3 linked regions of the Caenorhabditis elegans genome follow. The protein of the gene in region 1 purifies or fractionates together with the protein of each later gene. This does not show direct contact. Each region holds a gene or a part of one and is shown in the gene's direction. Other genes may lie near its edges. The genes, in order: agl-1, F29B9.1 and R12B2.3.

Region 1 (3,753 bases):
GCTCCGTGGCCTCGAAGGACACGTTCTTCGGTGTAGCGAGCAAAATCCCAGACACGAGCAGTTCCGTCGTCGGAAGCTGTCGCGAACTTTACATCGGTTGGAGCAAACCTATAAATTGAACAAATAATTATTTAGGTCACCAAACTCATAACTTACGCCAGACCTCTGATGGCTTCATCCTTGTGTGCTGAAAACATGTGCGCGTTGTTCATGTTCGGCTGCCAGTATTTCACATATCCACCTTGATCCGCACTTAAAAGCCATTGCTCGTTGGATGCCCATTTTAGAGCCCGAATCGCAGAGTCATGAGCCTAAAAAGTTATTTTATTTTGAGCATGATTCTGTCTCAAAAGCTCAAAAAATGAATTATAATTTTATGCGATTAGAACTTTCGAACTCTTGCGCATATATAAATATTTCAACGACAAGTCCGTTTTTTTTCAAACTTTTCTACTATCACGTCTGATTGTGTGCACAAAACTTAGAAAATGCCAAATGAAAACCTTTTATTCACATCAAATACCGCGAAATGCCGCATTAGAAACGATGTGAATACTTTATTGGTTGAGCATAAAAAGGTGAACATAATATACAAAATCGTAATCCATCGGGTTGTGTGCTTTACCTGAAGAATCGTCTCGAAATTGAAGGCTGTGCCATTCCACAGTGTGAACTCGCCAGTTTGGCATCCTGTGATCAATCGTTTACCCTCTGGCGACCACTGAAATTTGAGATATATACAATTTTAATTTTAAAATTGTGCAAAAACAGCATTAAAAACTCACGCAAACACTATAAACCGGGCATTTGACTTTATTCATGGCCGTTCGTATGAACTTTGTCAATATGCAATCCACTGGAACATCAGGAGTTGAATCTGCAGGGACGGCATATTGTTGGTATAAGATATCGGGTTGTTGAAGAATCCGTTGTTTGCCATATTGCCAAAGTCGGTTCTGAACGATTTACAAGAATAACTAGGAAATTTTATTTATGAAATATCTACCTCGCAATGGTTCAATACAGTAGAAACATAATCCACATGTCTTCTAACGTTTGCCACATTCTTCCTCAACCGCCGTCCAGGACCATCACCCATCACGTCTGGCATCACATGTTCTCTTTGAAATCGATTATGCGGATGGTGGTGATTGTTCATAATTCTCGGCTGAGAATTCTGCATTGACGATGTAGATGGTTGAATTGTTAGAGTAACATTCGGCATCTGATTGCCACGCATCATTCCACCGTTCATGTTGAAAGACGCCGATAAAATTTAAATTTAGATTTTTAGCAATTAAGGACAAAACCAACTATGTTTGATACGGCTGTCATCCTTAGTGTTATTACGAATTCATTGGCAGATGCACTCGCCTGGAATTCAGAAATACAACTATTTAGTCCAAAGCATTAAGTTTAGCTTGAAAGTTAGAAAAAAAGGTGATGAAGCAACATATTCTGTTCATTTTTAATTAAAGCAAATATTTTATAAAGTCTGAAAATATAAAAAAATATCAAAAAATCGATAAATTCCAGCTGAGAAAATCAGAGAAGCAACACAAAAAACACGTTCAAATCTTCTTGGTCCGCAAACAACATACCCCACGCCGTAGTGCACACAAAATACCACACTTGACGCACGCCGCGGTTTTTTAAATCGAAAAAATAAGGAGAGAAAAAGAAGAAAACGATGAAGAAAGTCACGTTGCGCTGCCATGTGCTACACTTTTCGATGGCTCAACGCGTTCGGGTGGCCCTCGAAATATAGAAAATCGATAGGTTGGTTGAGGAAACTATGGGTTTCCGCAGTTCTGTTCTTGGAGGATTTTTTACCTATAAAAAATATTAAAATCTTTACCTCCTTTTACATGAATAGATAAAGTTCAATAAAACAAGCATTATGTTTTTTAGAAATCAATATTCGTCCTTGAAAGATTTAATCTCATTCTCTAATTCCCATTGATTAAAAGACAAAAAGATAGCGATCTCTTATCACAAATTTTTTATTGTTTTTGTTGACTTTTCATCTTTGACTACCTATTTTCTCTAAAAACATGTTGTTCTGTTGGGTCATAATGCCCTCATATTCAGACCACGCGCACCAACAGCTTTTCGTAGTTTTCTTTATTATATTTATTTTTTAAATTGGAGTTTATTAAAAATGAAACTTCAGGCCAATACAACGACCACAAACTTTAAATCCAGCGCTCGATGGGTGAAGAAAAAGAAATCCGAATCATTGTTCTTGAAGATGGAGAGCACTTGGAAAGTGTTATAAGAAAAATTGAGAAAGGTTCTTTGTTTATAAAATTAAAAATATTTATCTAAACTTTTTTCAGGTTGGATAGTTCGATTCAAGCGCGGCTCTTCACTTCTTGGAAAGAAAGTTAAAGTTTTCACCTCTATTTGCCCTGGAAATTCTCTGGAATGGTCTGAAGGAAAAGACCACTTGGCAGTTTACTGTCAAGTGGAATGCAAGGAAGCTGGATCCTTCAGATATTGGTTTAAAATTGAGGATTCTGAAGAGCGAGGCAGTGGATACTTCTTGGTGATGCCAGAGCTGAAGATCAACGGAAAATGCCTGCCGCTCGATGGAATCGCTTGCCAAACGTACCTCACAAAGCTTCTAGGACCGCTTTCCGAGTGGAAAGAACGACTTGAAGTTGCACATCAGACAGGATATAACATGATCCATTTGACTCCTATCCATGAGCTTGGAATCTCAAATAGTAGCTATTCCCTCAGTGATCATCATTCTTTGATTAAAACCATCCAGTCGCAGGATCAAAAGTTCGGATTTGAAGACGTGCAAGCGCTCGTGGGAGATCTTGAGCGGTCCTGGAACATACTCACAGTACAGGATGTTGTGTGGAATCACGCAGCAAAGAATGCCACGTGGCTTCTGGAGCATCCAGAGTCTGCCTATAACTGCTTGAATAGTCCACATCTTCGGCCAGCATATGTAATTGACAGAGTGTATCACGAATTTGGAAAGCAGATTGGAGAAGGTGTGTGGGAACATCGTGGTGTTCCACCAGTCGTTGACAATATTCACCATGTAAATGCAATCGAGTATCTTCTGAGAGCAGAAGTTTTGCCAAAGGCCGATCTTCACGAGTTTTATCAAGTGGATTTGAAGGTAAATAAAACATTCTAACTATAAGAAAAAACATTCAATTTTCAGGCAATGGTTAACCTATTCGAGGTGTTCATCAAACAATCTAGTGGTCCCACAACGAACCCGTTGGACGGAGAAGATGTAGAAATCGAACAAGATTTAGAATGTCGAAGATTCGGAAACACTGTGGACTTTGAGAGATCCGCTAGAATTTTCAATCGACACCGGGGAGATGCTAAGTCAGGTATTGAAGCATAAATCAGCAAAAAACAGCTTTATATATATGTATATAAAAGGCATTACCTTAATTTTCAGAAGAAGAACGAGTGGAAAAATGCGTTCGAAGCTTTGAAGAAGCCCTCAATAACAAAAATCTCGAAGCCGCTCGCGAGTCATGGGAAGTGATTTTAGCCGGCTTGGCAGCAGTGATGGGAGGAATCACATATGAGCGAATTGCTGATAACGGCCCGAAAAAGGGACTTGTATCTCCGGAAAACCCGTTGACAACTGATTATTTTCTGCATTTGGAGGCAGATCTCGGGTGGAAATCAGAAGAGAAATTCGCATATGATCCAGAAAAGTCAAAGTTTTTAATGGCTTTTAATGGATGGGTTATGAGCAGTGATCCGATGAAG
Region 2 (3,753 bases), on another chromosome or scaffold:
CATTTTGAAGGTATAATTATTGAAGGAATATAAATGGTTCCGCGGATTGTGAACGTTCTGACCCCGCCAAAATGTTCTCAAATTAACGAATTTCGTTTGAAACTTCTGAAAAAATTCTCAATATTTTTTTGGTTTTTTTGGAGGTTCAAAATTAAAAAAAAAAGACTAAATTTGGCTAAAATCTCCTATTTTCCGAGATTTTAAAAGCATTTTTGAGAAGCCTCATCACGAAATTCGTTGATTTGAGCACATTTAGGATCGTAATGTTCGAAATACCCTTCTTTCAACTGAAATTGGTTTTCTCAAAGCTTATTAACTCTATTTTCAGGGCGAGAAAATCTTCTACATCGCCGCGCCAACGGAGCAGAACTTTGCAGCTTATCAAGCACACGAGACATCTCCGGACACCACTACATGGTTCGGTGACATTGCCAACGGAGCTGTTAAGCGAGTTGTGATCAAGGAAGGTCAGACACTGCTCATCCCGGCTGGTTGGATTCACGCGGTTCTCACTCCAGTCGATTCGCTCGTTTTTGGAGGAAACTTCTTGCATTTGGGAAATCTTGAGATGCAAATGCGCGTGTACCATCTCGAAAACGCGATTCGTAAGGAAATTAGAAGCGAGGAGAAGTTCTACTTTCCGAATTTCGAACTTCTTCATTGGATGTACATGCGAAACGTCTTGCTTGAGAAGATTACAGGTAAGCAATTTACTAGTTTGTATAGCGGTTTTACTAATATTCGCTACATTTCAGAAGCCAATCAGGAAGGTTCTGACATGCGTGAGCAGGAGAAGAATATTTGGACGGCGTCACAAATCATGAAGGCCGAAATGGAGCGCTGGATGGATCGAGAGTTGAGATTGGGTCCCGAGAAGAACGCGATCCTGCCCACTGACGACAAGAATAAGATTATGATCTCGGTGAGGAAGCAGATTGAGATTCAGACGAAGATTCAGAATGCCAAGAATAAGCCGATGGGGTTGAAGCAGAAACGTAAAAGTCGAGAATCCGCGGAGCGGGATGATGAGGACTATTGCCCGTCCAGCTCGACTGCCTACAAGAAGAAGTATACGAAAAAGGCTAAGAAGGACAATGATGATGCTCCGAAGGTGAAGAAGGCGAAGAAAGAGGAAGTTCCCGAGGAGAAGGTTCCGGTTCCTGAAGCAGCAGGTCCTTCCGAAGTTACAGCTCCATTGACCATCAAGATTGGAATGGGACCGACTGAAGATCAGAAGGGCGTTGTCCAGATATTCAATAATCAATGCACGTCGTCTGGAAGAAAAGTAAAGTTGAATCAGAACGTGGCCGACTATTGTGGATCCCATCTCGAAGCACGCGTCGAAGAGATTCCGGAAAAGGCGACGAAAAGCTTCCGCGAGCTTGACAACGAACTGGAGCGCTGTGAAGCTGTTCATTCCGGAGAGAAAATCAAGAAGGTTAAAGAGCCAAAGCCACCGAAGCAACCAAAAGAGAAAAAGGAGAAACCACCACGTAAGAAAAGATCGAAACCTTGAGAACTGTTTAATAATTTTTTTTTTCAGCAAAGAAAAAGGAAATGAGTTCCAGAGATCGCCTCATGAAGAAGCTCAAAATGTGAACGTCCTCTACCTCAAGATATGTGTGCACTTTGACGAAATATAAATCTCGTACAATTATAAAGTGCCCCCCGATCTTAATAGTAATTTCCCCGTATTTTTGACTAATTTTTACATTCGTTTTATTGTTTTATTCACACAATCCCATATTCTTTCACGCGGTTCTTTTGCATCCAAAAATTTGTACAAGACGATCTCCCGAATTTACTGACGGGGATTTTTTTGTAGTTTGAAAATACACACGCACAATAAAGCGTTGATTATGTTAATTTTTTTCCTTGATGTGAACATTGTTGAAAGTGAAATGCAAGAAAATATCTGCTTTTTAGACTTTAAACTTGGATTTCCTAGAAGAGATCTCTCTAGAGAGTGAACAGAGAATTAGAGAAACGAGGCAAATGCAAATGCAAAAAAAGCTCTATGGAACTACTTTTTTCAGATTTTGGAATTTATTATTTATTTTCGGGTTTTAAAATAGCTTGAAATGAGCGACATGAGCGAACAAAGTGTTGAAATTGCTTCTTCACAACTTGGAACCAAGGATTTGTAAGTAAAAATTCTAAAAATTTACATCTAGAGTTGGCTAAAACATTTTTATTTCAGCTGGGATCAACGATACGAGTTGGAACTTAAAAATTTCAAGCAACACGGAGATGAGGGAGAGGTGTGGTTCGGAACATCGTCTGAAACACGAATCGTAAAATATTTAATCGATTCGAAAACCGGCAAAGATGCAAAGATTCTTGATTTGGGATGTGGAAATGGATCGGTTTTGAGGAAATTGGTATGGATTTCGAGCTCAAAACCTCTGAAATTCAGTTTTTTTTCAGAGATCGAAAGGATTCCAGAGTCTGAAAGGTGTTGATTATTGTCAAAAAGCTGTTGATCTTTCTGCAGCCGCTTCGAAAGCTGAGCGAGAAGAGGAAGAAGACGAAGAATTAGTAGATATTGAATTTGAGGTGTAAATTTTTGAATTTTGCATCATTAAAAACGGAGAAGAGGTGTTTATTCATCTAAAACATAAATTTTTGCATAAATAACGAAAAAATAGCTAATTATTTTGAATTTCCGCGCAAATAAATTACCTAGTTCCGACATTTTCGCGTTTTCCGACTAATTTGATTGGTTTCTTTTGTAAAAACACCGTTTATCAATTTTCAGACATTTTCCCGGGAAGAAGGCCTGAAAAGCGCTAAGTTTACTTTAATTTATAATTTTTTTGCGGAAAACTTTCTAAAAATTGACAAGGGGTGTTTCAAAAGTTTAAGGAAAATATAAGAAAATCGAAGAAAACGCGAAATGTCGAAACTAGGTTATTAATTTGCTCGGGAATTTAAAATTAATTCACCAATTTGAATTTTTTCTGCAAACCGCCTTTAAATATTGTTTTTCTCGAAATTTCAAAGCAAAAACGTTTTCTTTCAGCAATTGGACATAACCACACCGCCAGCCGACTTTTTCTCCTCGAAATTCGATGTAATTCTCGATAAAGGCACATGGGACGCGATGAGCCTATCCGATGAACGAGAAGCTCGTCTGAAAGCCTACTTGGGTTTTCTTGATAATGGTCTGAGCGCTGGCGGTCGATTTGTGATATTCTCGTGTAATTTCACTTTGTAAGTAGGCCTAAAAAGGGCCTCGAAATGAAACTTCTAAATAGGTCACTCCAAAAAATTGAGCGGCATACGAGCACTTTGAAACTGAGAAAAGTTGATCTGAAACAGCTTCCAGACCATTTTTTTCCATTAAAAAGTTTATCAAAAATTTGCATTGTTTTTTGACCAAAAATTTTTTGACCAAAGTTTTCAGTTAAAAATTGTATTTTTTCAATTAGGGAGATTTAAAAAAGAAAATCAATTTAGATATTTCCAACAATTTTCCAAGGTTTCAGAAAAAATCGGAATTTTTTTTGACTGAACCAAATTTTTTGATTAAAAAAAGTCAGGATTTTTGAATTTTTTAAAAATCGTCTCAAATTGTTCATTAGATTCAAAAAAAATATTGAAAAAATGAGCTGAACCGAGTTCAGATCGATTTTTTCTAGTTCAAAGTTCTCGTATGCACCTAAATTTTTTGAAGTTACTCTTTCAAATGACATATGCAAGTTCAAATACTTCCATTGTAAGTCGAAATCAATTGTTTTCCTTTTCAGCGAC
Region 3 (3,753 bases), on another chromosome or scaffold:
ATCATTATTCTCTTCCAATGCATGTAAGATTTTAATTTTAATGTTAGATTTGCTGAAATATTTTTTCAGGAAAGCATTTATCAAAGATAATTCTGGCAACAAGCTGGACTTGACGATGTGCGATCTCGTGACACCTGCAAAACACGAACATCGATTCAGAAAGCTGACAAGTTTTCTTGTAGATTTTCTGAAACTTCACGAATTGGCCACTCCAGCGTTCAATGAAATTAGCGAAGAGTTCAGTGATCGAAAGTTCGAAATGGAAAAGATTCGGGAAGAGTTGTTAGAAGCCGAGAAGAAGAAAAATGATCTTCTCGCGAAACAAAGCATAAGAAAACGTCATGAGCATGAATTAATCAACGAACAGAGCAATGCGAAGGCAGAACTTAAAAATGTTGTGAACGAATATACCGAAACTCGTCAAATTAATGAAGAACTCGACAAGCAGAAAGAAGAAGCTATTCTGCACATTCAAGCCCTCGAAAAGGAAATGCTAACTGGTAAAAAGACAATTGAGCATTTGAATGAAGAAGTTCTGACATCGCCGGAACAGCTGAAACAAGAAATGGAGGAAAGGAAACGTCACATTGAAGAGCTCCGCGATTGTCTTGAATCATCAAAGTACTGATATATCTTCAGTCTCTCCAAAAATTCAAAATAAAAGTAATTATTTTCAGAAAAGGCCTTCAAGCAAAACTCGAGGCTCGTGAAATTTGCATCAACTCGGAGAAGAACGTGCCAGTGATTATTGAGAAGATCCATCAGTGGACTGAAGTTCGAGAAGTTATCATTGACCTGATCGATGTTGAAAGTGAGAATCTTCGAAAGCTCAAGGAAATGGAGGAGCAATTGGATTTTATGATGAAGGAGATGGAAACGGCACAAAAGCGACTCGTCGAGCAGTCGGAGACTCATGAACAATTGCGTATAGAACACACGCAGAAAAGTGAAGAGCGTCAGCGTAGAATTGAGGAGATTACCGAGTGAGGAATTTATTTGATACTTTGAAAACATTTTTTTAAACGATGTAAATCTTTCAGGCAAATCGCAAATTTGAAAACTAGTCAGCCAGATGTGTCACAGGAAATTGCTAAAAAGGTTTTTGTCAGATCAATCTTCATAAAACTCACCAACATTTTTTTCAGAAGCAAGAACTCCTCGCTCTAAAAAACGCACACAGTGAGACGATTTCCCAAATCACCAACTCTTGCCAAGATGCTGTTGCAAAATTCGCAAAACTTAATGCAATGTTCAAAGAAACCCAGAAAGTAGCTTTTGAGAAGAACACTGCAGCTGCACGTGAAATGGAACGTCTAAAAAGCTCTCTTACCGGACGCCTTCTGAGTGATTACACATTCGGATCATCGACAATCGACGCCGGAGAGAACACGGAAAATTGTGATCCACAACCTAACGATTCGAGTTTTTCCGTTTTCAAATAGAATGACTCAACTCGAAAATTTCACTTCATTTGATCTCTATTCAATGTAAATGTTATGCTTTCTTCCATACCAATAACAAAATTTTAACTGAGTCTAAATAAATCATGTGGTCTTTATTTTCAAATGTTTTCTTTTCATTCCCAGGCTCTAGAAATTTCACACCAATTTACTTTTCAGGTAAGAATTCACTCAAGTGGTATTTACGGGGAGATTATGTGCCTCTGTTTTTAATTAAAAATAAAATTAGAAATTTTGAATTTTTTGCCTTGTATTTTTTTGTTTGCGTCTTTAAGACTACAGTAAGACAAAAAGTGGGCGTGGTTTCTTATTTTGGAGAAAGCTCAAACAGGGAATAAGTGAGAGTCGGAAGTTTTGAAACGTTTTTTGAAAAAAAAATTATCTTGAAATGAAAACTTTTCCAGAAATTTTAAACTTCTCTTCGCTCATTAGCTCTACAAGTTGGAATTGTCCTTCTGAATTGAATATTATCCTACCAAAATTCTAAATAAATTTAAATAAATCGTGCGGGCCTCGAGTTATTGCATTCAACATTGACATTTTTCGTTCATTTCTCAATTTTTGTATTGTATTTCTGAAAAATTCACTCTACAAATTATGCAGTAAGCTTTTTCAAATAATGTTCTTTTCAGATTTTATAATTTTCAGACCATTAGACCTTTCGGGTAAGAGATTAGTTCGACCAGATGATTCAAATGGTACAAGATCTTCCACTGATGATGTACATTCGATGTGCTCTCAGGTGAGCATTCATAGTACATGATGATGTTTTAGTTTTATATATGTAAAAGAAACGCTCTTTGAAGTTAATTGCTTTCCATGTGTATAAACTAATCATAAACTAAACTGCAAGAAATTAAAATAAAATTATATTTAAAAGCTCTCAAATCTGGGACCCCGATCTCTTCCAAATGCTCGTTCCCTTGGTAGCTCAACATCTTCAATTCTTCTGCTTCATAAAACTTACAAGGAAACATCGGCCCCGCCTCCAAATCAAGTCGCATTCAAATCAGTCATCTTGGCAAATACCCAACTTGTGACGGAATTCCTTCAAAACGGAGAGCTTCCAACTTTCAAAAAACAAAGCTCGCGGAGCACCAACAATCCCTGGAGACGATACGGTGCTCTACGCAAGATTTGTGAAACCGGAGGTTTCGCTCCGAATAGTGGATCAAAGAAGGAGAGGAAGAATCGAGAGACTTTAATGGCGGTTAAGGTAATATCTCGTGGATCCTGTCACCATTCAAGTGGATAATCTGAATCATTAATTTTTATTCTATTCCAGCAAAATGTCAAAGTCCCAATTGCACCAACATCTGCTCAAATGACATTGAACAAAGTTAAGGATCCGGGACCGTAGTAAGTTTTTAAAAAATCTAGATTTTTTGGAATTAATTTTTGAAATGGTTAGGCTTCCAAAGTATGGTGCTACCTCTGGCCTACCTACAGCCTATTTTTTCTGCTTTGACGCAAACTCCGATGTTTGGAAGAAGTTTGTTTGGCCGATTTCTAATACTAGTGAGAAGAAAAAACTCCACTTTTTGGGTGTAAATAAAAATTATTAATACTTTTAATCCAACTTTAAGATTAATTCCAAATATATATCCTAATAGTAAGATATCTTACCCATTTCCTCTTACCTTTTTGATCAAATATTTGAAAAGACTTCTCATATTGTTACCCAATCAAAAAAACATTTCAGTGAGAATAAGCTGGCTCTGAAAGTTCCGAAGAATACGACAGTCGATGTGGCGGCTCAAAATCTTGCCGAGCAAGTGAAGGTGAATAACCTAGAAGAAAAATCGATAGAAATGTCCTGTCTCTTTTTCTTTTCACTCTCTCATTTCCAGATATTCATTCTTCAATATGGTGTTGAATTGGTGGATAATGAACCGGAGATCAATCAAGGCGTTAAATCGAAATGAAATATTGAAATTTGATTATTTGAATAAAGTTGAAGAGCAACGAAACTTGTTAGATTTTTTAATAAAATGTCGGCCATCAGCCACAGCCGGCCACCCAGCAGCCGTCGTCTCCTTTTATTGACTTGACCATCTCTTTTCCACCCTCCTGTTTCTTCATACTATTCTCTGACTTTTTATTAATTAAAATATTTAATGGATCTACTAGATCTATACCATGCTCATGATTTGCAACTTGCATCTGAAGGAAATTTTGAGGAAGTGCATTTTACGAAAAGAGCAGAAGAAGATGGAAATTCAAGTCCTGAGAGTAAAGGAAAAATAAAAAAGACGAGAATTGTACCATGGGAACCATATAAGGCGGCTGTCGC

Evidence for each region.
Region 2: the proteins of agl-1 (region 1) and F29B9.1 fractionate together in Caenorhabditis elegans (co-fractionation; one large-scale study listed by BioGRID). This does not show direct contact.
Region 3: the proteins of agl-1 (region 1) and R12B2.3 fractionate together in Caenorhabditis elegans (co-fractionation; one large-scale study listed by BioGRID). This does not show direct contact.

Annotation. Positions count from the first base shown.
Region 1 is NC_003280.10:14,355,989-14,359,741, reverse strand, and holds the start of agl-1 (Glycogen debranching enzyme), read left to right. Parts: upstream 1-1,628; 5' UTR 1,629-1,779; intron 1,780-2,173; 5' UTR 2,174-2,211; coding exon 2,212-2,293; intron 2,294-2,339; coding exon 2,340-3,139; intron 3,140-3,184; coding exon 3,185-3,362; intron 3,363-3,433; coding exon 3,434-3,753. Other genes in the region: pre-mRNA 3' end processing protein pfs-2, read right to left, coding at 1-108, 157-311, 626-721, 786-956, 1,007-1,255.
Region 2 is NC_003282.8:4,663,343-4,667,095, forward strand, and holds the start of F29B9.1 (Protein-lysine N-methyltransferase CELE_F29B9.1), read left to right. Parts: upstream 1-2,036; 5' UTR 2,037-2,081; coding exon 2,082-2,143; intron 2,144-2,200; coding exon 2,201-2,381; intron 2,382-2,427; coding exon 2,428-2,556; intron 2,557-3,022; coding exon 3,023-3,213; intron 3,214-3,749; coding exon 3,750-3,753. Other genes in the region: jmjd-1.2 (JmjC domain-containing protein), read left to right, coding at 1-10, 329-701, 756-1,493, 1,544-1,599.
Region 3 is NC_003281.10:5,803,553-5,807,305, forward strand, and holds R12B2.3 (Ras-associating domain-containing protein), read left to right. Parts: upstream 1-2,020; 5' UTR 2,021-2,057; coding exon 2,058-2,062; intron 2,063-2,108; coding exon 2,109-2,202; intron 2,203-2,340; coding exon 2,341-2,676; intron 2,677-2,745; coding exon 2,746-2,819; intron 2,820-3,162; coding exon 3,163-3,241; intron 3,242-3,310; coding exon 3,311-3,385; 3' UTR 3,386-3,430; downstream 3,431-3,753. Other genes in the region: him-10 (Kinetochore protein Nuf2 homolog), read left to right, coding at 1-23, 70-621, 678-983, 1,041-1,098, 1,146-1,442; R12B2.2 (Golgin-45), read left to right, coding at 3,578-3,753.